4 linked regions of the Oreochromis niloticus genome follow. The protein of the gene in region 1 purifies or fractionates together with the protein of each later gene. This does not show direct contact. Links are inferred from orthologs where the notes say so. Each region holds a gene or a part of one and is shown in the gene's direction. Other genes may lie near its edges. The genes, in order: ppp2r2ba, sertad4, ecsit and unconventional myosin-IXa.

What was found.
Region 2: the proteins of ppp2r2ba (region 1) and sertad4 purify together in Homo sapiens (co-immunoprecipitation; 3 studies listed by BioGRID and IntAct, with this or other methods). This does not show direct contact. The link is inferred for Oreochromis niloticus from reciprocal best matches to the Homo sapiens genes PPP2R2B and SERTAD4.
Region 3: the proteins of ppp2r2ba (region 1) and ecsit purify together in Homo sapiens (affinity purification with mass spectrometry; 3 studies listed by BioGRID and IntAct, with this or other methods). This does not show direct contact. The link is inferred for Oreochromis niloticus from reciprocal best matches to the Homo sapiens genes PPP2R2B and ECSIT.
Region 4: the proteins of ppp2r2ba (region 1) and unconventional myosin-IXa purify together in Homo sapiens (affinity purification with mass spectrometry; 4 studies listed by BioGRID and IntAct, with this or other methods). This does not show direct contact. The link is inferred for Oreochromis niloticus from reciprocal best matches to the Homo sapiens genes PPP2R2B and MYO9A.

The regions. Positions count from the first base shown.
Region 1 is NC_031966.2:29,656,435-29,664,394, forward strand, and holds the start of ppp2r2ba (serine/threonine-protein phosphatase 2A 55 kDa regulatory subunit B beta isoform), read left to right. Parts: upstream 1-4,948; 5' UTR 4,949-5,928; coding exon 5,929-6,007; intron 6,008-7,960. Other genes in the region: rpl26 (60S ribosomal protein L26), read right to left, coding at 1,323-1,451, 3,716-3,856, 3,952-4,119. UniProt on the Homo sapiens protein: The B regulatory subunit might modulate substrate selectivity and catalytic activity, and might also direct the localization of the catalytic enzyme to a particular subcellular compartment.
Region 2 is NC_031983.2:26,686,592-26,693,558, reverse strand, and holds the start of sertad4 (SERTA domain-containing protein 4), read left to right. Parts: upstream 1-3,957; 5' UTR 3,958-4,728; intron 4,729-6,967.
Region 3 is NC_031967.2:3,207,116-3,214,286, forward strand, and holds the start of ecsit (evolutionarily conserved signaling intermediate in Toll pathway, mitochondrial), read left to right. Parts: upstream 1-4,160; 5' UTR 4,161-4,315; intron 4,316-4,450; 5' UTR 4,451-4,537; coding exon 4,538-4,690; intron 4,691-4,858; coding exon 4,859-5,258; intron 5,259-5,349; coding exon 5,350-5,573; intron 5,574-5,689; coding exon 5,690-5,747; intron 5,748-5,869; coding exon 5,870-6,018; intron 6,019-6,481; coding exon 6,482-6,587; intron 6,588-6,672; coding exon 6,673-7,001; 3' UTR 7,002-7,171. Other genes in the region: eml3 (echinoderm microtubule-associated protein-like 3), read right to left, coding at 2,452-2,476.
Region 4 is NC_031972.2:44,062,318-44,069,896, reverse strand, and holds the start of unconventional myosin-IXa, read left to right. Parts: upstream 1-4,570; 5' UTR 4,571-5,059; intron 5,060-7,579. UniProt on the Homo sapiens protein: Myosins are actin-based motor molecules with ATPase activity. Unconventional myosins serve in intracellular movements. Regulates Rho by stimulating it's GTPase activity in neurons.

The DNA.
Region 1 (7,960 bases):
ACCAGACCGAGAAACTATTTAAAGGCTCAGGAACCCTTTGGAGATGTTTTGGATTAATTAGCTAATCAGAGTGGGACACTTTGAGCCTACAACTCGACCTTTTCACAATATTAAGAATATTGTGAAAGGTATTATTAATATTAATAAAGGTATTATTAATATTAATATTCTGAGCTTTTGAATTTGGGGTTTTCACAAGCTGTAAGCCACGATCAACACAATTATAACAAATAAAGGCTTGAAATAGCTCACTTTGCATGTAATGAGTCTTTATCATATAAAAGTTTCACTTTTTCAGTAGAATTTTGCTAAATTTAATGTAAAATTTCTTGCAAAATCTATTTTTTTCTTCTTGTCTTTTGAACACTGTCGGAGATGGCAGCAAGAACCCAGAGGCATTCAGTGAAGAGCAAGAGGTCACTGAATTACCTGCTGTCCATCATGGACAACCCATCACGGTCATCGCAGTCCTCTCTGCAGAGGCAGCAGAGCTCATTCATCAGCTTGTTTAAAACCAAAATGGTTTCCTACTGTTCTCTATAAAACAGCTCTTCTTCTGTGACAGGTGAACACACCTGTCAGGACATAAGATTTCATTTTTATTCTTTATCCTGCTGCTGTAAAAGTAATTTTCTTTGCAGGATCCATAAAGTATATTAATCTGGATCTGTTAGAGCAAACGCTGGGTTTCCATAATTCTGCTTAAATGCTTTGATATATTTTTTTGTTTCTTGCAGTATTTTGGATTTTCACTTCATTTCATAGTAAAATCAACATAGAAGCTGAGGTGGTGTATAGTCAGTCACGTGAATTTCCTTGCCTGTAACAAAACTACACTCATTTGCGCAATTAAAGAACATTTCTTTGTGTAGTTCACCTTGAACATATTTTAATGATAAAATCACGCAATTTTGGCCACAGCTTGTTTGTAACACTAAAATAAAAATGTGAAGAACTCATTACTATTTTTTGTTAATTTATTAACATTAAAGTTGTTGGATGCCATTTTGTCAGTGAAGATAAATTAATCTGATTTAATTCTCCTTTGAATGTGACAATTTTACTCATTCTCTGGAAAATGAATGAATTGGTCAGCAGCACTGGCCAATTCATTACATTCCTTGTAATGCAGTGTGCTGTTTAGAGATTTGAACATGACTTTGATGGCATACAGTATACCCAAGTGTTAATTTCCATAAACAAGGCAAGCATGTTTAAAATAAAATACTAAAAAACATTCCCGAGTTTAGGGCGTTACAATGAAAATATGACAGACAACATGAGGTCCATTTACAGAGTTTATTGATAGCAAAAGATCATTTTCACTCCTGCATCTTCTCAATGGTCTCCTCCTTGTATTTGCCCTTCTCCTTTCCATCAGCGCGAGACTTGGCCTTGCGCTCCAGGATCTTCTTACGGTCTTTGTCCAGCTTTAGCCTGGTGATGACCACCTGCAGGCACAAAAACATCTTGGTAAACAAACATGTATTCTCTCACGGATAGCAATATGTCTGAAATTATCCTCAAATCTCTTTAATAAAATTACACAAAAACACATTGCTTAATAATTGAAAAGTTCCCCACTGTTTTTGTAACCAAGGATTTTTTTCCCCCAAATGTACAAGGAAAATCTTGCTTTTCCAGTTTATGTTAAAATATTAAAAAACAAACTAAAAAATTTGAATTAAAAGAGATATGCTGAAATTCAAATATAATCTCAATTCTTCCTAAATTACCAATGTTCCGCATCTAAGATGTCACATGCTCTCCCATTAGCTCTGTACTTGCTTCAGCTGTCCACCAGTGTTTACAGATTTACAGAACTGACAGAAAGAGGTTTTTTGGTAGTTTAATGCATTACACTGTAATTTAGAACTGAACAGCATCAGCAAATTTTCAAAAAAGAAAAAAAAAAATCTATAATCCAGCTAAACTAGAACAACTGCACTCCACAAAATGTTATTTGGTCACTTTTACTTTGATTTTTCAACTTCAGTGCTCAAAATACCAAGTGTCAGAGTACGATGAAACACTGTGTCAAAAACCAAGTGAAATTTCTCTCAGTCTACCTGTAATCAGAGTTTAGGGCGTGCACCCGGGAGCAGGATTAAGTCATCATAATTAGTTAGCAGCAAATCTTAGCCGAACAGGCAGCTTTACACATGTGTAATATAGAAACCTGAAGTCTGGCTTAGATGTGGCATCATCTTTTATCTAGTAATCCTACACTGTCCACAAAGGAAGTCTGCAGACAGAAGGACTGATGGCACCCTCATAGCCCTTAGTGAGCTGCTGGTGCATACTGAGTTTTGGTGTCATTTGGGCTTGTTGTAAAGGTTCCTTTTTTTTTCCTCTTATTTTTTTTTTTTTTGTTAAAACACTGCAGCCTCACTGGAGACAAGTGTGAGTGGGTTGGTCCCTTGATAAATCAACTTCAGGAACATAGGGATTTCCCAATAGCACAGCGGGATACTACCACAGCAGTTGAATTATTCTGCACAATAAAAATGTTTACTTGTTTTGGATTTTTCTTTACCAGCACTAATGCAGTGATCGAGTCTTGAAAACTTATCAATTTAGGAGCAGACTACAGCGATTGGACAGCACCCAGCATCCATATTTAAATGGGTCTAAGGTGGCGTTGAAGTGCAATGAGCAGAATCAGAAACATCAGAGTCACCCTTATTTTGTTTGTGCACACAAGTAAGGAATCTGACTCCACTTTACTTTGGAAAGTGGATACATGTATACATGTGCAGAGAGTATACCAACGACGAACCATAACACCAGCTTACAATCTCCAGATCACAACACACACCACCTTTGGCTACTACCGTCCCACACAACGACAACTAGTCAAGTAGTCTGTCCGACTGCAGAATGAGAGAGTCAAGCACCTGAATGCTATTGAAGTTTACTACAGTAGTGACTGGGGCACTACTCATGGAAGCAGATTTAGCGAACATCCCTCCGTTCATTAACCCAGACATGAAGAAATCCCATGATCCTATGATTCTGGGTGAATCTTGGTGTCAGAGCTCCTCTGATGGCTTTACATTTTCCCTACTCATGCATGTGCTTAACTCAAGGTGAACACTCAAATTCAATAAAGATACTCTGATTAGCTGTTTTGGAACCAAAATCTTTAGCAGTTCACAGCAATCTGGTAAGCACACAATAAAAAGTGAATGATATTTGGCGACTTTGAGTGACGTAACTGTTATCAATGTGAAGTAGGTGGGAACCCTCAGACTTTCAGACCAGTGACTGAAAAGACTACCACAGAATGAAGAATACTGCTAAAAGGCACAACACGACAATCGTTTTCAACGTGGACACAGCTTAAGAGTTGCAGACCTAAGACTTAAACTCAAAGTTTATATATATACTTTATTTGTTGAACATGCTTCTTGAACAGGGCTCTGAGCCAGCTTTAGGAAAAGAAACAAACATCAAGATCTAAAATACCTCAACTTTCAAAATTACAATAGATAAAGCACACACTAAGAACCCAAAAATACCCAAGAAATACTTATATAGCTACTCTCCACATTGAATTTGTGTTGATCAGCTTAAGAGTTTGTGACATGGAAAGCTCAAGACTACATCTCTCAGGTCCACTTCCTGACACAAACAAACAGTAAGTGCCATGTGTGACACTACCACAGAACAAGTCTACTCAAACAAACTCAGTATCTACTCAATTATGTCTCACCTTGCTGGGGTGGATGCCGACATGGACTGTGGTTCCGTTGGCCTTCTCTCTCTGCACACGCTCGATGTAGATGACATACTTCTTCCTGTAGACCTGGACTACTTTGCCAATCTGCTGGCCTTTGTAGTGTCCACGGACAACCTGTATGTAAATACACAAGCAGGTCAGACTAATCCGCCTAACATGTTGCACATCTGCTATGAAAAAGAACCCCTCAGCAATACAAACCACATTACCTGGACTTCGTCATCTTTGCGGATGGGCATGGACCTCACGTTGTATTTCTGGCGGAGCTCCTTAGACAGGGGGGAAGACATGATCTTCCTCCTGATGTGTGAGGGGGCATTGAAGTGCCTCTTGCGGTTCTTGCGACGGGAGGATGTTACAAAGGGATTGAGCTTCATGATGCTGTAAAGAAACAAGTAATAGCACATTGACAAACCCAGGGGATAAAGGCTGCACTTGCTTGCAAAACAGTCCACTCAAATTGTGGATCAGGATCTACAGTTTTAAGGAAAATATAAGAATGTAGGGTTAAAGAACCCACTACTTTCTCCTGACACCACATAAAGCAACTCTGAGAACCCAAAACCCAAACCTAGAATGTCCACTAGGTGTGTTATTTTGCTGTATTAGGTACCTGGCTAGGTTGTGCTACGTTTTAAAGGCGACTATTAAGCTAGCTCAAGCAGTTAGCATAAGATAGCCGTCAGACTGAAGCGGGATATTTCTGCAACATAAACTCGGTACAGTGGTTGAACAAACTACACACTCTACAAAAAATGTTTTTAAAAGCCCACTACACTTACAGAATGTAAAATAGGTCAAATATTAAAGGCTAGCACCAGGAGTAGAGCTGCTTCACTATCGCTAACCGACATGCGGATACTGAAGGACCTAACAGGGAGACCAACTACTGACAGCGTTTATTTAGTAATCCATCGTCAACACGAAGCCAATATTCACTGATTTTTAATTGTACTGAAGTATATGTGGGGTTTACACTTGTATACGGACACACAGTGGTATTAAAAGCAGGATGGATAACGATAACTTTGGCGAATTCATCTGCTGAGAATTCTTACCCTGCCTTTGCTCCTCTATGGCCGGCGGAAAAGAGACTCGCAAACTACTTCCGCTGGCATTAGTTCACACTCAAGTCTCGCGAGAAGTCAGTGTTTAAAATGATAACACAGATAAACACAAGCGTAAACACAGAGGGGTCTGGCAAACATGACACAATTTCGTCGTACTGGAACTTGTTTTAGTGCTGCGTGTGCTGCGAGGAGTTAAATTCGACTAAAATAAGGTGACCTTTAAGATTTTTATTCAGCATAACAACTTTATTTTTTAAACAATGCCACGTAATAATTTTTAGTTTATAAAATTGCAGGGGCGTTTTTAGTAAACAAGCACAACAATGTTTACTAGGTTTGTTTTTTGTGACGTTATAAGTTGTGTTTGCTCGCTACGTTAAATATTTCCACAAGATGGCGCCAAACTTAGTTAATCGATAACATGGTTTACAAACAAGTTTTGTCTATGATTCATCAAGTTCTGGGCTCTGTGCAGTACACAGCCCTCTTTTAGGCATTAGGGATAAGTGTGAGTAGCATTAATAGATCGGCAAAACACATTTTCTATCGGTAACACCCCCCAAAAAAACATTCAGTGTAATTTCCAGACAAAGTATTTGCCCTTAGCTACATTTAATATAAAACAGACTGCCAAATTCATAAGGAAACACTTCCTGGCTCCCGCCGAAGTAATTGCGCTTTCCCTGCTCTTTTTTTAAATTTAAACCCAAATACGCTGAGAAATAAACACGAGGAGGGTGTTCACACCAGCAGACCACACATACATTGACCTCCCATGATAAGAGGACAGAAGCGACCCCCTGTCCTGCTCAGACAAACTCGCCCACATACACGGAGCGACCTGCCGAAGCGGAGACGCTCTGACACCGTGCGCTATTCGCTCCCCGGGTGAAGCGCAGTTCTACCGGAGCCTACTGCCTGCCTGCCTTCCTGCCTGGCTGTGAAAAAGTGATGCTGTCATAGCCCCCCTGCACCGCGGACAGAGCCTATTTCACTCCCCCCTCCTCCTCTCCGAACCTCCCCGGATCCTCTGTGGCTGGCTGTCGGCGGCAGCAGTGCGGATGTGGAGCCCGCAACGCAACGCTCTACACCCGTCAGCAAGCACCGGAGAAGAAGATGAAATGTTTTTCCCGTTATCTCCCGTATCTCTTCCGCCCTCCGAGCACCATCCTGTCCTCCACTTGCCACACCGAAGGTAGGGTGGGACGCTTAACGGGGGGGTGGCTTTCACGGGTCTGTGAGTTGCTTAGTTTGAGCCTTGTGACATCAATGTTTTTAGGCTGCTGCACATATGATACACATGTGCAGAAGTTAGGCTGGCCACTTGAAGGGCTACGGCTTAACCAAAGGGTTAACCCAGACCAATGCAGATTTGACACTGTGCATGAAGTTGAAGGAGCCCTTTCTCAAATCTAGATTTCTGATGCAAATTATAGAAAGCGTTCCAAGACTCTGTGTGTGTGTGTGTGTGTGTGTGTGTGTGTGTGTGTGTGTGACTGTGTCTTGTAAACAGTGTCACTCCACTCTCGTGCATTTTGCTCCCTTTAAAGGTGTCAACACACAGGCCTACAGGATGCCAAGAGAAAAAGTCAGTTTGTGGAGTTGCATGACAAGTACCCACATTGCTCCTTACTCATGGTTCTCCCATTCATTTCACCAGCTCACACTCTGCCTAGATCACTTAATTCAAGAGCATCTAGGCATCTCCACACGTCGCCCAAACCTCTCACATTCACCCATTCCAGTTATTCCCCTGGAGTCCCTGAAGTTAAAATGGCGAATTGACATGCTGTTAGACCGAGAAATGACTTCATAATCCTGCTGATTGTGCTGTCAGACACAGCCCAAGAGGGTCTGAGTGTTTGTATAACCAACCACTTACTAGGTCATAATGTGGAGACTGAGGCATTGCATTATTTAGCTTTGCATGGTTGCCCTCTTTCCTGTGTGTGCTCTGCCCTCAGCCTTCTGGTAGAAGGGAAGATAGTGTGATACACTGTACGTCCCAGTATGTTGTGGGCATTGACAAGGTCTTAGACAGCATGTAGAGCTGACCTATATACTGTATATATTCACCAAAGAAGAAGAAGCACTTGAGGCTACCTACTCTTGCACTTTTTATGTGTCTTCTCTATTTCATCACAGATCTTTCCCGGTTCTAAATTTCATTTTTTCTTCCCTCCATCCTTCTGACTAATTTAATCTTGATTAGCCATTTAAAGTATGATTATCAAACATTAATTACAGCACTTAAAGCGGAGGTCGGATGTAAGATAGACATTGACTGTGAAATTATGGCTATCAGTTTGTCTCATAGCCAAAGCCAGCACTGATTCTAGTTGTTTATTTTGTTTTTAGTTAGCTCTGATTGTGCAGTGGAAATAAATCTGAGTGCATTTTGAACATATACCTGTTTCAAAGTCATTTAGATCTCCATCACACAGCTTTTGAACATTTAATCAGCACAAAAGCGGCACAACACGTCAGACAAATATCAGCATCTGACGTCAATAAACGTCATCTTATTTATATCAGCCAGAATATTGTTGAATTTGTATAAAATCCAAGGTCCAAGGTTTAAAGTGTGTTTATCTAATACTAGATGCAAGCTATAAACGAGATCAGGAGCAATGCATTGCACAAAATATGAATCACAACAAAATAACTTACAAAAAAGGTTTTTAACAAATGGGTATGGAAAACTTTTCTTATATACTTAGAGTGTACATATGTGGATTTTAAATTTAGAGATGTTATATTTGTCTTGTAAAATATAAATTGACCCGCTTTTCCTGTAGCCTAGTTTCTCACCATGACCACATGGAGTAAACATGATAGAAATGTTTATCATTACTGCATTCGATCGCAAATACCAACTCAGTTTGAGCTCCCTGATGTTAAGAGGTGCGGCCAACAACCAAAATGTTTTTCACTGTCTTCACTCCAAGCTTGTTTACTCACTTTCTGAGTCTCCATCCCTCTGCCTGACATGAGAGAGTGGTATAATAGAGGAAGTGATAGATCAAGAAGAAGAAGAAAAAAACCGTGGCTGCCTTGTTCAGCCTTGGTAATATGATACACGATCCTGTGCTGCTCCCTGTGTGAAGAAATATGAAACAGTTGTATGGAGAAAGCAAGAGTGAGAGAT
Region 2 (6,967 bases), on another chromosome or scaffold:
TAGTACTTTCAGCTTCTCCAAAGTTGTTTTCCTTGCTTGATGGAGGCCAATAATTTGACCCCTCTGCAATAGAGCAGTGCATTTTTGTTTTTTTTAAGAAAGAGAATCTACTAATTTCATCGACTGAAACAAACATTTTTGTCCTCAAGCAGCTGCTCGAGGACCCGAGGGGCCAACTGGTTCACCTGCTGCCAGCATGTGAGACCATGTAGTGCTTTAGAAACAAGTGAAAATATTTGAAAGTCAATTTAAAAATGCAGAATTTACAGTTATAGGTTAGTTTAGGGTCGTTTGAAGAAGTTTAGATGTGCAACAGCAAACTTTTGACACATTAATTTTCTGTTTAATGTAGTCTGTTTACAAAAAAAAAAAACAGAAGTAAAATTTCCAGTCAGGGAATGAAAAACAAAAAGTAGATCTCTGTACGTTTAAATTCAGTGCAGTGTATATATTTCAATTCAATTCAATTCAGTTCAATTCAATTCAATGTTACTTATATACCGCCAAATCACAACAACAGTCGCCTCAAGGTGCTTTATATTGCACAGTAGATCGTACAATAATTTCAACTCTGCTGGTCTTCTTTTGCTTCCGTACCAAACAACAGAAACCTGTTTAACATCACTTCGACGAGCTCTGAATGTGTTAATCTTTCACAGGCTGTGTTCCACTAATTACGTGGTTAGACTTGTATGTTTATGCTTTGCTGTATTGTTTCTTATGCTTTCATTTAATTTACAAGTTTTGAAGAATTTTCTGGTTTTTAAGGCTGGCTTTAATTTGTGATTTTTTTTTTTTTTTTTTTTAGAAACTACCTATGCCACAGACGGCATCGGTGCCTTACTGTTTTTCACTCAGCAACCTTGTGTCACAGTGTCTTAACGTACCTATAAATGTATTTTTCTCCTGTACTTTGGACTGACTTTGATTTGTAAACTGTCTTATTAATTGACTTCTGATAGAGAATTTCTATGTGATGATATTGTTTAAAAAAGAAAAAAAAAAAAAAACCATCATCATATAAGCGTTTTTTTAATTGTGTGTTGCGTTTGAATTAATGTTCAAAAATTTGCCTTAAATTGCATTGCCACAAAACAACCAACAGGTGGGGCAACCATTACATTCTGTTTCTTTTTTGTCAATGTTTGAACTTCACTTACTTTATAAACTTTTAACTCTCCTCCGTTAAATGTAAACCACCGAAATTTGCATGAATTCAAAATGAGCGCGGCAGTGTTGTTTCTCGAAATCAGACTGCCTGCAGCTCATGCGGAGAGGGGCTCACTTGTACAGTGGCGTCTTTTGATGAACGTTTCTGCCCCACAGGCAAAGATATAATAGCTACACCCAAGTGTACATCTAAATACCGCTCTATTGCAGAAATCCTAAAAATGGCATGTGGCACAGAAAAGGAACGTTAAAAAACAAACAAGCGCATCTTTAGGTGGATATCTGTTACTCTACACCTAAATATGTTTTAACTTGTTGTACAAGAGTGTAATTAATTCTAGCTTCATTTTTATTGCACAGACAGATAACTTTAAAGCTGTCAGCCCTCCCCCCTCTTGTCGGGGACTTTGCTGTGGTGAAGTGACACCTCTGCTTTGTGTGATCCTGACACCCAGCAGTAGTTTGAGCTACATATAAAAAGAAGGTAAAGAGAGAGAAAACAAGATCAGAGATACAAGGTTTTCACAATTAACTGTGTTCCCAGACACGTTCCACAGCTGAACGCAGAACAAAGTGCTCTCAGGGAGAAACACTGGAAAATAAGATTCAGTGGCTGCTGTGGAATCAAAGGGGAAATGCATAACAGATGAGAGGGGCTTGCTCCCTCCCCTCTCTTTGTCGGTCACATCCCTGCAGAGCAGATCTTCCAACACACAACCTGTCTGAAAAAAAAAAAAAAGCTGTTAGAATCCTTCAGGTGCTGTCGGAAATTATATTATTACAGCCGGAGGGCACGTGGACGTTTGAGAAAGTAAATGAAGTCAATGGTGCAGCCAATAAAAACAATAAGCAACTGCCAGGATGGCTGAGCAATAAGTAGTCCTGCAAAACAAACAAAAGAGGCATCAATTTACTGACATTAGTTAAACTTAACTGAACCTGAAGGAGATTTTAGTAAGTAGAAGAGAAAGTAGTTCTTCAGGCAGAAATGAATGAAAGCATCAGAACTTACAAAAAGGCACGCACACTGCTGCGGCACTCGGCTTCATTAACTGTAATCCAAACATTGAGGTGATTTCGTTTCTGCAGCGAGCATCAACAGCCCTGCAGAGTGTCTGCAGAATACCAACATTTGATGGCTCCAGGCAAAAGCCGAAGTGCACGCTTTTTAGAGACCAAAGGATTATGTAAAGTGGTTAATAAAGAAAATATTAAGTAGATTAAGAAATACCCATTGTCTGCAACTTGGATTCAAATTATTCTCAACTACTGATTAACAGGTTTAAATTTGAGCCTGAGGGATGCTGGATTATTGGGGCCAAGGTGGAAGTTTATGCTACATACACGATACTTATAAGGAAAGTAATGATTGTTTAGAAACCAGTCTCTAACTTTCACAATAATTAGCTAATATCTTCTTCTACCTTATCCTCTGAAAAACAAAAAACAAACAAAAAAGCAATGAAAAGTAATTATGTATTTGTCATTGGCCAATATCAGCCATGCAAATATATATATATATATATATATATATATTTTAAATTCACAATATTTTTCAATGACGTATTTGTTTATTGAAGGAACTAAGGAAAGGAACTTGGGACACCGGCATCCTTGGACAGTATTTCAGAATCAGAATACTTTATTAATCTCTAAGGAAATTGTATGGGTTACAGTTTAGTAACAGACTAAACTAATTAAATAACATAACATGTTACAGAATTTTACCCATGTGTCTGTCTTACACTGGTCAGATTATCCAATGAGCATCCTGGGCACAGTAAGCAGCCTGTGAAAACTATTTTTTGGTGTTTTTATTACTTATTATTTTAGTATTTGCATATTTATATTTTTGTGTCATCCCATATACTGATGGAGTAAAAGGACTGAGACGGGGAATGAACAGCAACAGTAGCTGCACATAATCCTGATGAAAAACAATAAAAAAGCACAAGCTGTTTCATTTTCCACTTAATAACAGTTATATAGTTTTGGTTCTGCCTTTACAATGGTCTAAATTCTTCATAGCATGGATTCAACAATGTTCTGGAAACATTCCTCTCAGACTTTGAGATGATTGGAGCTTTGTGACACGGCGTGGTATCTGCTGGAAGAATCCACTAGAAGATGGTAAACCGTGGTGGTAAAGGGACCCACGCGGTCAACAACAATACGCAGGTAGACTGTGATGTTTAAAAGATGCTCAATTGGTACTAAGTGTGCCAAAAAACATGATTACAGCAGCAGCAGCAGCACTGTAAGCCATTGATACAAGGCACGATGGATTTATTCTTTCATGTTGTTTGCACCACATGCTGCCCCTGCCATCCAAATGTTCCAGCAGAAATCACCACTCATCAAACCGGGCAGTGTGTACAATTTAGCCTAAGTTCCCTGTTCTTGGCTGGCAGGAGTGACACCTAGTGTGCTCTTCTGCAGCTCGAGTGCGTCCGCTTCAATGTTTTACGATGTGTTATGTGTTCAGAGATGCTCTTCTGCAAAACTTTGTTGTAACTTGTGGTTATCTGAGTTGCTGTTGCTTTCCTATCAGCTCAAAGCAATCTGGCCATTTTCCTCTAACCTCTGGCATCTTCCAGAGAAGTGCTGCTCACTGGATATTTTCTCTTTCTCTGACCGTTTTCTGAAAACCCTAGAGATGACCGTGCTGGGAAATTCCAGTAGATCAGCAGTTTCTGAAACACTCAGACCAGCCCATCTGGCACCAACAACCACGCCACGTTCAAACCCACTTAAATCACCTTTCTTCCTCATTCTGATGGTGGCTTTGAACTTCGGCAGGTCGTCTCGACCACGTGGACATGCCACTGGATTTGGCTGACTTTTAATTTGTACCCAGGGATCCCCCACATAACAACCCAGCCACGGCCCTATCACGTGGTAATAAAAACGCTCTTCTGTGGGTGCTTTTTGCAAAACAAATAACAAATTAATCGACATACAATAACGCGGGCGCGATAAGTCACTGAGAACGGGAGAGTGGGGGAAGTTCCGAGCAAGCCGTGAACTCCTCAGCAGTAGTTGACTGGTCGGGATGGAGCTGCGGCGCTGCTGCTGTTGTTTTCTCTCCGACGCACGTTCATATTAACTGTCAACCGACGGGAGCAGCTCGGGACCCTCTGCGCGGAGAACCACCGTGAATGGACTACCACAGAGAGAGCCGGGGCTCGCCTTTATCCCTCCGCCGAAGAGAAGACAAGAAAACATCAAATAAAACAGCTGCGGCATCTGTCAACCTTTGCCGTCTAGGAAAACGCGCGGGTGCAGTAAGAAAAACGGCGCGCGCTCACTGATTAGTATGTAGACAAGTCGCTAATTAACTGGTAATTACACAAGTAGTATTTAAACCCGCCTGTGCGCCTCGCGTGTCTGCCAGGAGTCTAAAATTAGACCGAGGCAGAGCCGCCGGAGGACGCGGTAGTATTTATTTAGTAGTTGTTGTTTTTTTTTTTTTCGTTTTTCATTAACGCACCTTGGATTCCTGCCGTTACCACAAAGCAAGTGTGGAGCCGAGGACGAGGTCAAAACAATTCAAGTCAGGTAAGATCATATCTGCTCGCTCTAATGTGTGAACGTGCTCAGGATCCCGGCGCTGGAAAGTAAAAGTAGGCTCTTAAAATAAAGTAGTAAACGGTCTGGGTTCGTTTTTGAATCACTGCGCGGTCCTTGTTTTCAGTCTGCTTGTTAAACAGTAGCTTATGATTTTGTTTTAATGTGCTACATGTTAAGTTGTGAATGGAAAATGTTTATTGAAACTGTTTTTGTGCGTCCTCCTGAATTGTGTGCGTGATTTTACCGACCTGAGTAAACTATTGGATAAACCTGATATAGATCTTGCTACCTGCCGGATTAATGAGAACCGGGGCGCTCAATAGCTCACTGGTGTGACATGACAGACACCCAGGTCCTACACATTACGCAGGCTGACATAACCAGCCACTCTCCTGGCACCCATCCAGCCTCACTTCATTATTTTTGTGGCGACTGCTCTTGGCTGCAAATCCTGAAGTGGCGGTTGCCTGTATTACTGCTGCCTTCTGAAAGGACAGGCTTTTAGGCGATTTAGCTCATTCCTGAGCTTCTGTTGTCTCCTTGATGTCATTTCTGTGCTTTCTCGGGCTTAGAGTCACAAGCATCCACTGCTCCCAGGGTGGACTATTAACACCCTGTTAGCCCCAGATGGGATTAAAAAATTCCAGCTTGGCATGCGTAATGGAGTGAAGGCAATAAATAAACATCATCTCCCTCCGCCTTTCTGTATCTGCTGTTTTGGTGAAATAAAGGCTTCGAGTGCAGCCGGCTGGTAATAGGGTTGGATACGCTTCACCTCCTCTCGCTGCCAACAACATCCGGAGTCACTTGCCAGGAATTCCACCTTTGCTATTTGTTTCCCTTGGAGGGGGGTGAAAAGTGCTATGTGGAATATAGTGAGGCACGAAACAGGGAGAAACATCCAGGTCAGACAGTACAGACGAGAGGGGTTGTAACAAGAGGAAGCGTCGGGGCTTTTGCAGCACGGTGGACGGCTTCTTGGCATCCAGCTCGGGCAAGTCCGATGCCAGATTCCTTCTCTTTGCCGCCTGCCAGAGCCCCTCCGCCCCACCGTCTTTATCAAAAGCCTCGCTGTGATTTCCCCCTTTCAGTTCTGTTGCTGAGCTATCAATCATATCTCGCTCTCAGCAGACTCTTCTGCTCATTAAGGATGTGAACCTGTAGGTAGCCTGCAGCCCCCCCAGCTATTCATCTCCCTCAGTGGGGCGCAGAGACTCACATCTGGAGCAGCATTGCAAAACATGGCTCTTAGCAGACATGTAGTGTACGCTTAAGGAGATTCAGTGCACTGGTGCCAAGCATAAAATTAACAAGTGTGCGGCTCATACACAAACCTGCACTGGTATGTAATTAGGCAGAAAAGCAGAAAAAGGATAGATGTAGTGGATTATAGAGACTCCAGTGCAAAGGAAAGTCTGGAAAAATAATGCTGAAGGGATGTCAGTGGTGATGATAGTTGGCTGGCTTCACATCATCCCCTTTGTCCCTCTCTTTCTCTGCTCTGTTTTGTGTAAAAGGTCTCAGCCAAGACAAGTTGAGCTGCTTTAGTGAGTGTTTTTGTGTGTGTGTCAGGACCGCAGGGTGTAGCCCCAGACTTTTTTTTCCCTCCCCCCCTCAGGCACAGCTTTCCCATCATGAATGCTCCTTTGTGCTCCAGAATGACACACAAGTACGAAGAGCAACTTCAGAGGAAAGGATAACGCACGTTTGTTTCTGCACAATTAAGTGTAAAAATAGAGGAAGGTGTGACTTCCTCTTGCTCTCGTTTATAGCAAGGAGCTCACGGGCAGTATTTACAGCCCGAGATCCTCTGGCTCAAGAGGAATTTTCTCAAAGGTTTCTTTCAGTGCTTTAGTGTGGGTGTCTGGGGTGAATTTCGACCTGACAGAATTAATGCAACATGTACAAACACTGCTTCAAAATGCCTCACATTCCAGAAAGGAAAAGTAGTTAATCACTTATCATAACTGCTAACACATGTGCAGTCTTGGAGGATTTCACTCCCATTTTTTTATTAGCTTAAAAAAAAATCACCTTTGGTTTCATGCACAGGTTCAGAAGGAAGAAGAAAAGTGGATTTGTTACACTTTTCTTCTTTTTTTTTTTGTACACAAACACACACGATGCCCTTGCTTGTCTTTATTGTGCGGCATGTCCACCTCTGGGAGCATCGGCAGTGACGTACCCACACACAACCCCGGCCCGTGAACCCTCACAGCCACAACAA
Region 3 (7,171 bases), on another chromosome or scaffold:
GTGTCAGCAAAGCGTTTCACTGATTCTATTTTCCCTCCACTGTTCTCATTTATAGTAAAGAGCTTGGTACTTATATTATGCTTATGCACTTGAGCTCCTTTAAGTGTGCGACTGTACATGATCTGTGTGGGTCAGAAAGAAGTGTTAGTCAGTCAGGGTTAATGGTACGATCCCCCACCTTTACTAGGATTCCTGCCAATGTAAGCAAGGTAACGCTGAGTTACGTCCAAACATAAATCCCACATTCACTGGAATTTCTATACAGTTCTTCTAATCTGGTCTATTTGACCCTATTAGCATAAGCTGTGACCTTTTATGGAAGATCAGAGTATGAAAAAACTATCTTCCCAACTAGTAAACAAACACTTTACCTCCTGAGCCATAAACTACAGACTTCAGCACATCTGTCATTTGAAACAAAGGTCTTCCATTCCTTACTCTGTGCCGGGGAGTTTCTTGTAACGTCTAAAGTTATGCAGTTACTTAAGAGGGTGTGATACTTCATTGGGTTGTATGGTGTTCACACACACACAGACACACACAAAGCATGCATGTGTCCATGTTCATCTGCTAGGAGTGACTCAGTAAATGCATTTTGAAAATCTGAGGAGTTTTTCATGCTTTTCCAAATTTCTGCCCAGACTGAACTTGTACAGTTATCATTACTGATAAAAGTCATGGACACAACAATTACAGAACACAGGACTCATGTTATGAAACAACAGAAATGCAGTAAGATAACAGGCTTATTTTGTATTTCCAATATGGATATATTATCTTACTTTATTTTTAACATCTAAAAAATGATATCAGTATTAAAACTGAAGGCAGTATCTTTAAAATGTCTTGTTTTGTTAAGTCTCAAATACCCATTAACAGAAGTAAACTGTTGGAAAAGCAGTAAAGTTTCTTTTGTGTGGCACTGGAATCTGCATACACTGCACATTTGTCCCCTCTTCCCTAAAAAATTACTATGATTAGTTTGCAAAGATAGTTTTTCTGTCTATCAGCCAGTCATTTAATCTAATGTCAGATTTACTTCACCTTTTATGCTGGCATTTGATTCCTGCAAATCTGTCCACCATACTGGGCTGTATTCAGTGGAGGAAATATTGCGTATCAGTATCTGCATGTTACTGCTGAACACAGCAGTGATTTGATCCCTACAAACTCATATTACATAAGCCAGCCAGCTGACACTGAGGTACAAGCAAATCTCCAAAGTTCCAGCACACCTCATACAGCTTTCCAAGGCAGGTAATGTATCACAACCTTCATTTATTAAACATAATCACCATCGTAACACAGGTCTTCACTAAGAGAAATGGCTGTGTCTTAAAGGTTCCTCCAGCACTGAGTCACAGCTGCCTTCCTCAAGCTTCCCCATGTGATATTAATATATTCGCTGTTCCCCAGTACTTTGGCTGCCCACCAGCTTTCAAGAAACCACGTTATGAGTATGTAAGATAGGCTTGGGGTGTGGATGTTTGTATACAGATGGGAATCAAAAGCAGCACTGGGCAGCTATCAAACTTCCAGTTCCTGCATAATAATAAGTATTGTGGGGGCAGACAGGGTGGAGCTTTTTCACCCAACCCACAGTGACTTGGAGAGAAGGATGTTCAGCTGGTACTTCGTCTAATATATTGATGAACTGTTTGTGCATGGACACAGGCTGCTGCGATCTTCCGTGCATTTTATTCCATTATTTCAGGCTCCTGAACGCTCTGCCGGTGGTCTCAATGTTGATGCTCAAACTACCCACGCGTGACAAAATGGAATCTATCAGCAGCACACAACTCAGTTTGCAACACAAAGTGAGGGCGTTGCAGGCACGCCTCCAGGGTGTCCTGATCACTCGGGCCAGACTTAAGACAACTATTTGAATGCCACAGAAATAATGTAAACGATGTGCAGCCCGTTCCCACACATCTACACAGTCACAGAGTGCTGCTGTAACGTCCTGTTTCTCCATCGACGTTTAAGACCACTGTCTGTCTTTGCTAAAGTGTGGACGAGTTACTGAACAAAACATGGAGAAATGTGGAAAAGCCCAAAATTAAGCACCAAAAATCCTTTGAAAGACAGAGCGGATGTTCCGCCGACTATCCGCTTGCAATAAAAGACACCAAAGAATGCGGCGACGAGCGCTGCCAAACTGCTGAAAAACTGGATTTAAGTGTTCAGTTACAGAGTTTTGGTGTGACTGAAAGGCGGCCGAACAAAGTTCGAGGTTTAACGCGTTAGTTAAACTGTGTAAAGACGTGTATGGTGCGGTGTATGCTAGTTTTCTCTAAAGATTGCCATCTTTGAAGCTGTTTGACAGCGTTCCTTTGAGAGCGATGTGATTATCTGATCCGAGCACGGACAGTGAAGTTTCCACAATGCTAATGGTGTCAGTAAAAAAACACACACACAAACACAAAGGACCACTGTCGCTGCTGTACTCACCCAAACTGTTGGTAGAGGAATCCATAATCCCAGTTTAAACGGTGTCTCCTGTTTCTAGAGGAGCAGCATGCACTAAGGTGTGTTTTCCATGCTGACAGCAGAGAATCACAGCCCACACTCTGGAGACTTCAGTCGATTGACAGGTCTAAGAATACCGGAAACGCGAAATTTTCCGCAACATAAAGCGTAATAGTTTATTAAACGCACGGGTGTGGGGGGTACTTATAAGTAAATCGAGCTTAAATATAAAATATAGTTCGAAATTACTTTATATAAAATGAAAAACTAAAAAACAATCACACCACAGACTGAAAACCGCTTCCGGAAGTGTAGCCCCTCGTTATAGCTAACTTGACACTATTGGCGGGAAGGCACCAGGTACGGCTAAAGGTGCTGCCAGATATTCGCCTCAGTCATAGTGATTCAGTAAAGAGGATTTCACAGTGTCCGCATACCAGAACATTTCACAGAACTCTTACAGCAGCTTCTTATGGCTGCAGCTCTGCAGTCATCATCTGACAGCTAGAAGACGAGCATTTGTTTCCATCTCGTGGTGGCGCTGTGCACTACAAGCCCTGAAACCTGTGCCAGAAAGTGATCGCCTGCATTCAAACGGCTATAAATAACTTGTTGGCCTATAAGAAATGAAACGTATATCACATGCATCCCTCATGAATGATATCCAGTCGTCTTCACCACACACAATATTCCTGTCACAAGGTAGAAGCTTCAATTAGTTTTTGGTAAAGTGACTTTATATATCCTTTATTGATCCAGTTAGAAAGCGTAATTGACGTTAAAAATGTCCTTTTGTAACAGTGATCTGACGTCATAAAGATACCCGCAAGACAGGTGATTTATTTATTTTATATAAAACGCCTTATTACGGAAGCGTAGACCTGCCATCCAGGCAAAAAATAGAGCTATATCACGTTGTAACGTGAAAATTTTTATTGTTCTAATAATATACTTGTTTGTACAATATAGCATCATGTAAGTACAATATAATTTTCGCGTTTGAACAACATAATATCACGTTATTACAATATACATAATTACCACGTTCGTACAATATAATATTTATTGACAGATAAATATTTATTTATTGTAAGAACGTGAAAGGTTTTTTTTGTTATAACGTGATAATTCTGTATATTCTAAAAACGTGATATTATGTTGTTCAAACGCGAAAATTATATTGTACAAACATGAAAGGTATATTGTTAGAACAATAAAGTTTTCACGTTATAACGTGATATAGCTGTATTTTTCTTTTGCCTGGGTGGCAGCTCTACGCGTCCCTTCCCTTATAACTAAAATCTCTTTTAGTTTTTAGTTGTGATTTTATTTGTTTTTGTTTTTGTTGTTGTTTTGTTGTTTTCCTTATATAGCGATTCTATAAATGCAACGTTGTGTCACCGTGAGTGTATCTGAATTCAAGGGAATTTTAATACTCCATTGTCAGCCAACATAAGCTCGACAATGGCTGCAAAGTGGTGACTCTTGCCTTAAGAAATATCTCCTGAATTAGACTAAACTGACAAGAACACGACAATGATTTTTTTTTTTTTTAAATTTAGTTAGCGTTCTCTTTTCTTACTTTTGTTTAATAGTTTGAAGAATCATAGCTACAACGCGGATAATAGCATTGATTAAATAATAATTTTCCTGCATTTCAATGGAGAATATTTACTGCGCTTATTTGCGGTTTTACGGAACAATCATTTCTGTCACTGTTTCCGTTGTTTGGGGGAAGGAAACGCGTGTCGGACCGGAATGCTGTACTGGCCTTTCAACATGGTAGCGTACATTGACAGCGCTTTCTGAAGGAGACTCTAGTCTTGTCCGATTGTCGGCATTAATGGTCAGTATTAACTTGGTTATACATTTTGGGGTAATAATAATAACTATCCTTACTACAACGTTTGAGCAGCTGACGAACTAAACTTCACAAAAATGTGAAATGTAAAGTTTTATTGTTCTGTACAAATATTTACAGCTGGATGAGGTTCACCGAAGAGTGAATGTGTGAGCTTCACGTCCGTGCGCACTTCTGTTCTCTAACACTCGCTATGATGGCTCGACTATGAAGGGCAGCCGCTGCCTGCATCAGCTCAAGTCTCTGCGGCTGCTCAGCCACGCAGGGAGGCTGCTGCCTCCTGCTGCTGGAGACAACGGCGCTCTATTCCGGCCACGCTCCTCGAGTCAGCTCGGCGGCTTGCAGTGCGCACAGCGCGAGGTGAGCTTTAGCAGCGACCAGACTTAAGCTCTTAAACCACACTGATATAACCGCAGAGAAAGGCAGCTGGCAGTCGACTCTTTGTTTGTTGTTAATCAATAAATAATCTAATCAGATCATATGAATGAATTTTTATATGCGTTCATAACTAAAACATGTTGCTTTTAGGTGTTGAGACATTTCCACAGCAGCCCAGCGTGCACCAAGGGTCAGCCTGCACGGTTCGTTCAGGAGGAGGACAAGACGAGGGACAAATCTCTGGTCACCCACGATGACCTGTTTGAGCAGGTTGCCAAAGAAGCCAAAACCAAGGCCACATTTAACAAAGTGATAGACGTCTACACCAAGGGAGACATAAGGCGTCGAGGTCATGTGGAGTTTATCTATGCTGCTCTGAAGAAGATGCCAGAATTCGGGGTGGAAAAAGACCTCACTGTCTACAACAAGCTGCTGGATGTTTTTCCTAAAGAGGTATTCGTGCCGCGAAACTTCATCCAGAGAATGTTCAACCACTATCCCCGTCAGCAGGAGTGTGGAGTGCAGGTCCTGGAGCAGATGGAGAATTATGGTGGGTGTCTATAGTTTTGTGGTAGTTGCTGAGAATCTTGAGGTATTCTTTACACTGTTTTTGTGTCTAAGTGTCAGTGTCTGTGCTTCAGGTATCATGCCCAACATTGAGACCAAAGTGCTGCTGGTCCAGATCTTTGGAGAAAAGACCCACCCTATGAGAAAGTACCAGCGTATCATGTACTGGTTCCCCAAGTTCAAGCACGTAAACCCCTTTCCTATTCCTGAGCAACTGCCTGAAGACCCAGTAGACCTGGCACGCTTCAGCCTCACTCGCATGGCAAACGACTGGGATGCAAAAGTGACCGTCTACCAGGTATACGTGTGGGTTAGCCTAGCTTAGCATGAAGGCTGGAAACAGTCTTTGACTTTTGTCATCAGATGTAAATCTTGTATTTACCAAACTCTTTGTGTGTGTGCTCTCCTCACAAGCTGCCCTGTACAGACGTCACAGAGAGCGGCGCTGAAGTCACACTTCCACATATAGTAGGTATGGATGACTTGAGAAACTACATTCTGTGTTTTAGTCAGAAATATATTGCTAATAAATACTAATAGAGGCATAATTTCCATATTTGTTGTTTGTTTCTGTCTTTCCTGTGTTTGCACCAGGCATCCAGAGCCCCGGCCAGATGGAAGCGCTCGCTAAGCACAACCCTGACAGACCCGTGTTTGTGGAGGGCCCCTTCCCTCTGTGGATGAGAAAAACGTGTGTTTACTACTACGTCCTCAGAGCTGACCCTACCCCACCTGAAGAGAAGGTGGGCGAACATTACTGTTATCCATTACAAAGTGGGTAGTGGATAATAAATGCTGTGTGATGATCATATAACAGTGTGTTTGAATTCTAATGATTGTGGGTTATAGCTCAGAAAAGTCACACCCAGAATCTCAGATTCTAGAATATTTCCTAAGATCAATTAAAAACAGGATTTATAATACAGAAATGTCCAGCTTGGTGTGTTCATTAATACACTCAGATATTAGGAATGCAGCAGTTGTAGCTGCTTTCCTGTAGACATCTGTGCATGCTGGTGTTTGGGGAACTGACACCACCCTCACTCCACTGCCTGTGAAGCTCTCCCCGGTTCTTCGGCTGGCTGTCATCTGCAAACAGCCGGCCTTTTCAGCAGTGACCGCCTGTGTGTTCCCCTCATTGTAGACTCTGATGAATATAGAATATGTGAATTAAATTACAAAAACATTCCTCCTCCCTCCCCCCAGATAGAAGAGCCCTATGACCCAGAGAGGTGTTTGAGCTATCCTCTGCAGCTAGACCTGGATTTGGATCGCGACCTGGGGGACGATGAGAGCTTCGATGTGGAAGACTGTAAGATATGGCATCACTGCTGTTGACCACAACCCCTCACTTCCAGGGTGTAACATAGATGATCTGTGTCTGTGTGTCTATCCAGTGGATGAAGGTCCAGTCTTTGCCATGTGCATGACCAGTCAGGGGGACCAGGCTACCCTCAATCAGTGGATCTCTGGCCTCCAAGAGAGTAACCCCATCCTAGGTCAGATCCCCACGCTGTTCCGACTGGGCGCTGGACCCCGGGAGCTGCAAGGGGTGGGCGACGCCGACTCGGCCAGTCGATCCTGGTTTCCTTCACACGTCCAAAGAGAAGAAGCACACCCTGGGGAGGAAGCTGAGGCTGTAGTGGAAGAAGCTGAGGCTGTAGTGGAAGAAGCTGAGGCTGTAGTGGAAGAGGAGCCCAGGAGAAGCCAGGGTGTGAAGCAGTGAACAGGAGAAAGTTTCCTCCTGACTCCCTCCCAACCAGCTGGGAGGTTTTTGTAAATTCTTTTTAGCATATTTAATAAAGCCATACAAAATGATTGCAAACGTATTTATTCAGTCACAAATGTTTGACTCCCTTAAAATACAGCAGACTATCTGGGGAAGTACTAAGTACT
Region 4 (7,579 bases), on another chromosome or scaffold:
TTTTCATCCAGTTATGCTTCCATCCACGAATTTCCCAGAAAAAGTATGAGGCAAAGACCGGCAGTGTTTTTCTTTTTAGTTTCATGAGTCATAAAAGTCACATCATGAGATATAATTAACTGTGACACAAAGAAAAATTAAGAGAAGATTATGAAAAGACGGGATGTCCGACTTATTTGCACGGCTGGGAAATGAGACAGGTATTAGACATTGTGTCATTTCAGGTGGGTGTCAGACTGGAAGATTTTCCCAGAACATCTTTGATATGTACTGTATGGGAAACAATTGTTCACCAGACAGAATTTTTAACAACATTTACATCATTCTTTGTGACCAGCACAACTCAGCACTTTCAGTCTTATTTCAGTCAGATGTAAAAGTGCAAAAGAAATAAACAATCATCAGGTTGGCTGTGAAAACAGGACTTTAATGGAAACACAAACAGAGTGGATACCCGTCTTTTATAAATCTTATATAAAAAACATTAGTTTGACCTAAAATATATATGTTATTTGCTTTGTGTGTGTTCCTGCTGGTACACAGATGTTGCCACTGTGAGACGGGGCCAGTTTTCACCCTGTTTTAAATAGAAAAATTTCCAAGTCTCAAATAGCAAGAGGTGTCTTTGTTACTGTCTGCTCTGTTCCCGAGGATACCGATTTTTTCTTCATCCTATCTCAGGTTTCTCATGTCAGTAGAGCCCTGTCGGCCTCCTGGCTAAACTCCCCTCCATTTAAACGTTTCTAGTCGACTGTCTCCATCACCCCGGCCTCTTCTCTCAGCTCCTGTTCCTCCAATTTAATGTGGAGCTACTGTCATTTTGGACGCTGACGCTAGCCTGAATGCGTGAGCCGAGGGCCCCACGACGCGGAGTAGGATTCCAGCTTTCAGGGCCGAGGGGAGGATTTCCTTTTCAACATGTCTGGCTGGTAAATATGTCACCGGGCTGGAAACCGATCCTGTGAAAAACAGGTGGGATGTTTTCAAACCCGCTACAGGAGTGCATGTGATCTGTCTTTCTTCCCTCACACACACACACACACACACACACACACACACACACACACATATTTGAATGTAAAGAGAGTTAGTTCCCTGCCAGCAAAGGTATTATCTGTCAAGAGTAAGCAGCCCTGGAGCAGTTTATCTGAGATCGGCTGCTAAATCTTCTCTCATAAGATTCCTCAAAGATTTACTGTGTGTGGTGTGTCCGTACCTCAAAAGGAGTTACATTTCACCGAACACCCCTGCGGTGGAAACGAAAATGAAACGACAGTGACCTTTCCAGTGACAAATCCATCTTGACACAGAGGTGTGTTGTGTGAAGCCAGTATTGACTCACAGCCAGCTCGCTGTCATCACACGCCTCAAAGAAGAAAAAAACCTGTGATTAATTCTTATAATGACGTAGCAGAAATGTTCCTGTATACTCCGAGTTTTTTATAACTCTGACAATAATTTATTGCTTGATGCCAACGGCTGCGACCAGGGACCAATACTTTATCAGTTTGTTGTTATTAAAAGTTTCAACTAATGCGCAAACCACCAAATTCACTGCAACTTTGCATCCATGTACTGATGCTTACCAGATACAGTTTAACTCGTTAGCATGCATGTACAGATGTTTAGTCCACCAAGAAAAAAACAAACAGCAACTATGTAACTGATAACAGACACGTGCATTTTCTTTATCTGATGCCACTATGTTGAGAGTTTTAGGTGTTTTTTGAGGTGTGGCTCTGTCCACATGTGCACAGGTGTTTTGGAAAGCACAGGGTTTATGTGTGTTGTGCTGTGAGGTTTAGTTTGAAAAGATTTATAAAGACTTAGAAAATCAAAATGTTTATCAGGGAAGAAAAAGGAAATCAGATGATTATGATCAAGCATGGTGATCTGTGACTTTGATAAAAAACCAGTAGTTTCTTTCTCTGTCTTTGCCATTGTGCTTACTTATTGTGACATTTTTCACACATTAAGTTTTAAAAAAAAAAAACTTAGGAGACCTTGCTTTGGTAGAAAAGACAGTCTTTAGCTGGAAATGGAAAAATGCCATTGTTACTGGTGTCACCGTTGCGTCGCTTCTTTGCCCTTTCATCCATTCCAACCACTAACTTAATCACTTTCTTTATCATTTAGCAGTAAAACACATCTTGTTTGTTTTTACATTTAAAAGAAAAGTATTATACGAAATGATGTAGGTCTAGTAACAGCCTAAAAACACAACAACAAAAACTAACTCCCTAAAACTGCAGTTCCTCTAGTGGCCACTTGAGGTCATAGACTGCTGTGTTGAAATTTCCAACTTTAGAGCATTCAAAATCATGAGTACAACCTGCTACAAAAACAGTCCTCACCCCCCATTAGATAACTTTCCCCTCTATACTAACTCAATGGAAGTTTGAGGTGAGTGAAGTTCTAGTATTTAATCAGTGTGCTCCTTGGTATTGTGTCTGTGCAGTTTATGGCTGTACCTTGCTAACTAAACTTGCCAGTGAAGACCAGGGACGTCAAACTGATTTTACACTGTAGGCCACATACAGCCCACTTTGATCTTAAACAGTGAAACTTTGTTTTCTGTCAGTGTAAAGAAATTGAATTACACTTTTACTCCCTGATATAGCTTAATAGTTAATTCATTTGAGTTCAGTTTTATTTATATAGCACCAATTCACAACAACAGTCACCTCAAGGAGCTTTCTATTAAAATATATAATATATTATAAAATTACAGTGAAATGTTCCGGTAGCTCATTGCCCAGACTGTCCTATTATAAAGTAACGTTTTTATTAATTACAGAAAATATCCTCTTTTTGACCCACTGTAAAAAACAAAAATAAAACAGTGGGGGGGGAAGCAACTTTTCTATCTGTTGATTGTTTATCTGTTACTGTGTTACTTTGGCATAGCAAGATTGGCCATAAGGGAGGTCTTTATCAGTAGGAAAACTTGTAAAACTTTTACAGTTAAAACTCCAAAATGTATTGGATTCATTGCTGTGCTGATTCTGGCCCCAGGCCTTAGGCTTGACTCCTGTGGCTGATAACATCACATCACTCTATTTTATGATCATTTTTGGGTCCAAAAACAAACAAACACCCAAAATAATATGACAGCTTCCAGCCAGGGACGCCTCTGGAATTTTTTCATAGCAGAAGTAGCTTAAGATTCACTTTCCCAGAATGGAGTAACCTAATGTCCGCAAATTTGGGGGGCAGTGCCCCCCCTTGGACCCCCCTTGGTGGCGCCCCTGCTTTCAGCTTTCATTGTGAGTTGTAGTTCAAAATCAGTGTTTGACGCCTTGGTATTTTAAACATATTTTAAACTGTCCCTGAGTGCAACGTATGTACAGCCAATAAATATCATCATCAAGGAAATCATTCACTAGTTTTTAAGACACTTAACTTTTAACCACAAAGAAAAGCACACAGGGGTTTCTGCCAAAAAAAAGTCAGGAGGGATCAGCAAAGTCATTAGGGTTCATCCTCTGGGGATCATTAATGCTTGCAGCCATCCATCAAACTGATGCCGAGATGTTTTGGCTTGGCCCAAAGTGGTAGGCTGACAGACATCGGAGACGTCGCTGAGGCTCTCTAAACAGCCCAAAGACAACACTGGGAGTGCCTGAGATGTCACAGAACAGGTCGTGAGAGATGTGAATCCATCCTGGCATCACACAAGAATGTCTGCACATAATTAGGTCTCTTGGTAACATGTCTCTGACAGCAAGTGGTAATTAAATCAATGATACACTCATGCTACACTATAAAAAGTCCCTGACAGCCATTGGGTTTGTTTGTTTTTTCCACACTCAACATTTGGTTTATCCCATATAGAAGGATGTAAGATATCCACAACACATTCTGCAGCTAAAACAAATGCAGCCTCGTTGTCTAATAGATCTTTGGTGGCATATTTTAATCATGCACAAAATAATAGAAACATGTCAGTAAAGTCAGTTCTACTAAGGACACATTGGGAAGCTGGAAGCACATCAAGGCCCAGACACAGCCCTGCGTTCACTTGCTTGTACTGTGAGTCAGTTGTGTTTGTTTCTTTCTTTACTTTTAATGGTTAATTCTCTGCTGTCCTTTTGGCCCAGTCGGTCTTGGAAAAACAAAAAATTTTTAATCTCGGTGACACGTCGATTAGGATTGCATGATTGCATCTATAAAACAATAATAGAAAACAGACAGTAAAATTAAGCTTTCTGTGTCATTTCAGTGATCTGTATTAAATAAATAAGGTAAGCCTTGGTTTGGATTTCATCTTCAAAATAAGTACTTGATTCTGCAGGTAGTACTGATTTGTATATTGCTCATTTTATAACTGGCTTAATGCAAAACACCATACTGTAAAACCCCTCCACTAAATTCAGTCTTAAATCTTGCAGAAGTACAAAGATATTTTACTCCAATTTATGCATCTTCCTGTGTGTGTGCGTGTTAGTTTATTGTATATTGGGTGTGTCAGCATTGGCCACACCCCTCTGCACGTCATGATCTGAGTGACACTCTCAGATCCAACACGTTAATTCTGCTCAGAAAAAACAAACTATCAAAAACTACTTTTATTGCTCAGGTCATCTCTTGAAAACAATCGCTGTTGGTTCATAGCAGTCTCCCACCTCCACCCACCAGCATCACTGCTATAAAGCGCCCATCCTACGGTGTACGTGAACGCGCAAACGCGAGTCCACGAGCGATAACAGCACCACGGCTCGTAGAGGAAAAAAAGGGAGAGAGAGCGAGAAGAGAGCACAGAGGAGCTGGAGGAGCTGCTGTGGGAGGAGGGCAGACGTGACGGGAGCACCCAAAACAGAAGCTGCCGGGAGTACGACACGGACAGAGGGACGGCAAAGACCGGATCTTATCTGCGGCACATTTTGGAGATTTGAGCAGCCGGATACGCTCTCTGTTAACGACGGCGGCTTTTTCCCTGCGGTAAAAAAAAAAAAAAAAATCAGCACGGGTGTTTTTGGTGAGGAGGTCTGCTCTTCCTCTTCAGAAAGGACGGTCTGTGGCGGAGGGCTGTGCTCAGACTGAAGGCACGGTGGAGGAGGTAAGCCTTTTCTCCTTTCTTTCAGCTCCGTGTTGTTCAGCTCCCGCTGTCAGTAAGAGCAGACACCGGGGTGAGGAATGCCAAACCTCCGTCCTGCGGAGCTGCTGGCTGCCCCGATCAGTCAGCTCATCGGCTGCAGCCTCCTGTCCACCCCCCCACCTTAGTTCAGATGTTCCACCAGGACACCTAACCCACACCATCATTCAAAAATACCTTCCACCTTATGATGCCTACACACACACACACACACACACCTACACCTTTCTCACGTCACCCTCTTCCACCGCCGCCACCGCCTCGGATGAATGTCACCCTGTTTTCTTACATAATGCAGTAAATGTGCGGGTACGGTTACAGATGTTGGCCGGTGGATGCGAGGCTCCACATCTGGCGGGGTGCAGCAGATAGACGTGACGCACTGGTGTAAACGGGTAAGACGGTCCGGGGCGCTGACCCGGCCGGGCTCTGTGTCGCAGAGGACGGGCTGCTGGAGCTGCAGCTGCGGGGCTTTGTTTTTGTGTCATTTACCTCCCCGCTAACGCGCTCTGTGAGCTCGTGACGCTCGGTGGTGACATTTTTTTTTCGTCAAGCGCGAGCCTCTCAGCTTGCTGACATCACGCTGCTGCTGCTGATGGGGCATAGCTGCTTTTTTTTTTTTTTTTACAGCAGGGCAGGAGGATGTTCAGCTGCTGTGGACGAGGCTCAGTATATATCCTGTATTATGTCCTGTTGATCACAGCGTGCACTTAGAGCAGCGTTCTGCTTTACCTGTAGTCTAAACAAGCTTTGATTCCGGCCTGATCGTAGATTCTGAATGGTTTGATTTCGAAACGTAGGCAATTCGACTTTTTAATGCAAATGAGTGACTAAAGAATGCACTAATTTGACACACATCCATCCGATCAACAAGTCTGACACTTGTCAGCAAAAGTAGAGCTATCAACACCAGAGCGGGATTTTAAGCTGTAAGCCTGCTACAGATTGGAATGAGAGAGCAGGTAGAGGAAATGTTGGTGTGATGTAATACCAAAAAGTACGAGCCATTTTGTGATGTTAAGTCAGGCTGAGGATGAAAATAAAATAACACTTGAGTGAGAGTCTGAGTCAAAATGAGGTGATTTCAAACCAGCTGACAGGTTAAAACATGCCTGCTTGGCCTCAGTCAGACCACCGGTGCCCTCAAGGTCTCCATCCACTAGCTCCGAAAGCCCCAGTACTAGTTCCACCCTCCTCCTCCCCTCCCTGTGGCAATCTGCATGAAATGCCACAGTGATGGCACTTTCAAGAAAACAGATAACAGCATTTTGGGTGGACATCTTTGACAGGCAAGGAGAGACAAACACTCCTCACCACCTCTGGGTGATCTTGAGCTGTACTGTCTGGTTTCACTCTCCCCGTTGCCGGTTCGGGATAAGGAACATGCTGCTTTTTTGCAGTGTCAACTTTGCTGACGTTAACATTTCATGCAGGTCATTATGTAAGCCCTTGAGAGCAGAACTGAAAACATTGCTTTGACAGCTCCAGCTGGCTGGCGAATGGGCTCGTGAGCGCGGCGAAGGAGCTCCAAAGCGGCCCAGAGATGTTTCGTTTTTAAATCTGTGGCAGATGAAGACATTTGTGAAAGCGGAAGAGCAGCCAGGTGGCTATTTTTCCTCACAAGTTAATATAAACACCACATAAGAGCACTCAAGGCACTGAAAGAGAGATACCAGTCATTTCAATAATTCATAAACAGTGGAAGCCTTTAATCTATTTTCTACAGCTGTTTAGAGGCTCTGGACCAATGTGTCTAGATTTGGCTTTTTCTTGACTTTTTAATGCAAATGCAATCTTCTGCTGGGAAGCTGCTTTGTGAACATCACAGTGTGCCAGTTTAACTCACTGGGGCCCATTTTCCAAACCCCTTTGACAGGGATCTGCTGACAGCTGGTCACTATTTATGAATCCTACCTTGTATCCAGAACCTGGGAACTTGTGCACGTGTCCCTGATGATATGGAGGCTCTCCACTAAGGTTTAATTTTATTTAAACACTAAATATGTAGCCTGGAATTATGTCGTTTATTATCAGAAATAATAATCCATACTGGGAACGCGGTTGTTAGTGCAGCAAGAAGGTCCTGGGTTTGAATCCACCATCACAGGTAACTTGAACCTATCCCACTATTCAAAGATGTGTAGGTAGTGAGGTTAGCTTAACTGGTGATTTTAAATTGGCCGCAGGTAAGACTGGGAGTCCAAATTATCTGTCTCTCTGTGTTAGTCCTGCAACAGGCTGGCAACCTGTCTAGGATGTACCTCGCCTCTCGCCCTACGGTAGCTGGGATAGGCCCCAGCCCTCCGTGACCCTGAATTAGATAAGTGGAAGATAATGGATGGACAAATCATACAATCTTGTGGTTCATTGCTCTCACATCTGCAGTTTGTTTGGTTGATGTGAAACAGGAAAACTAATGGAAATGTGTGAAGGAAGGGTTAGAAAAGAGAGGCTTATACGGTAGTATTAATAGGGAATATTTAC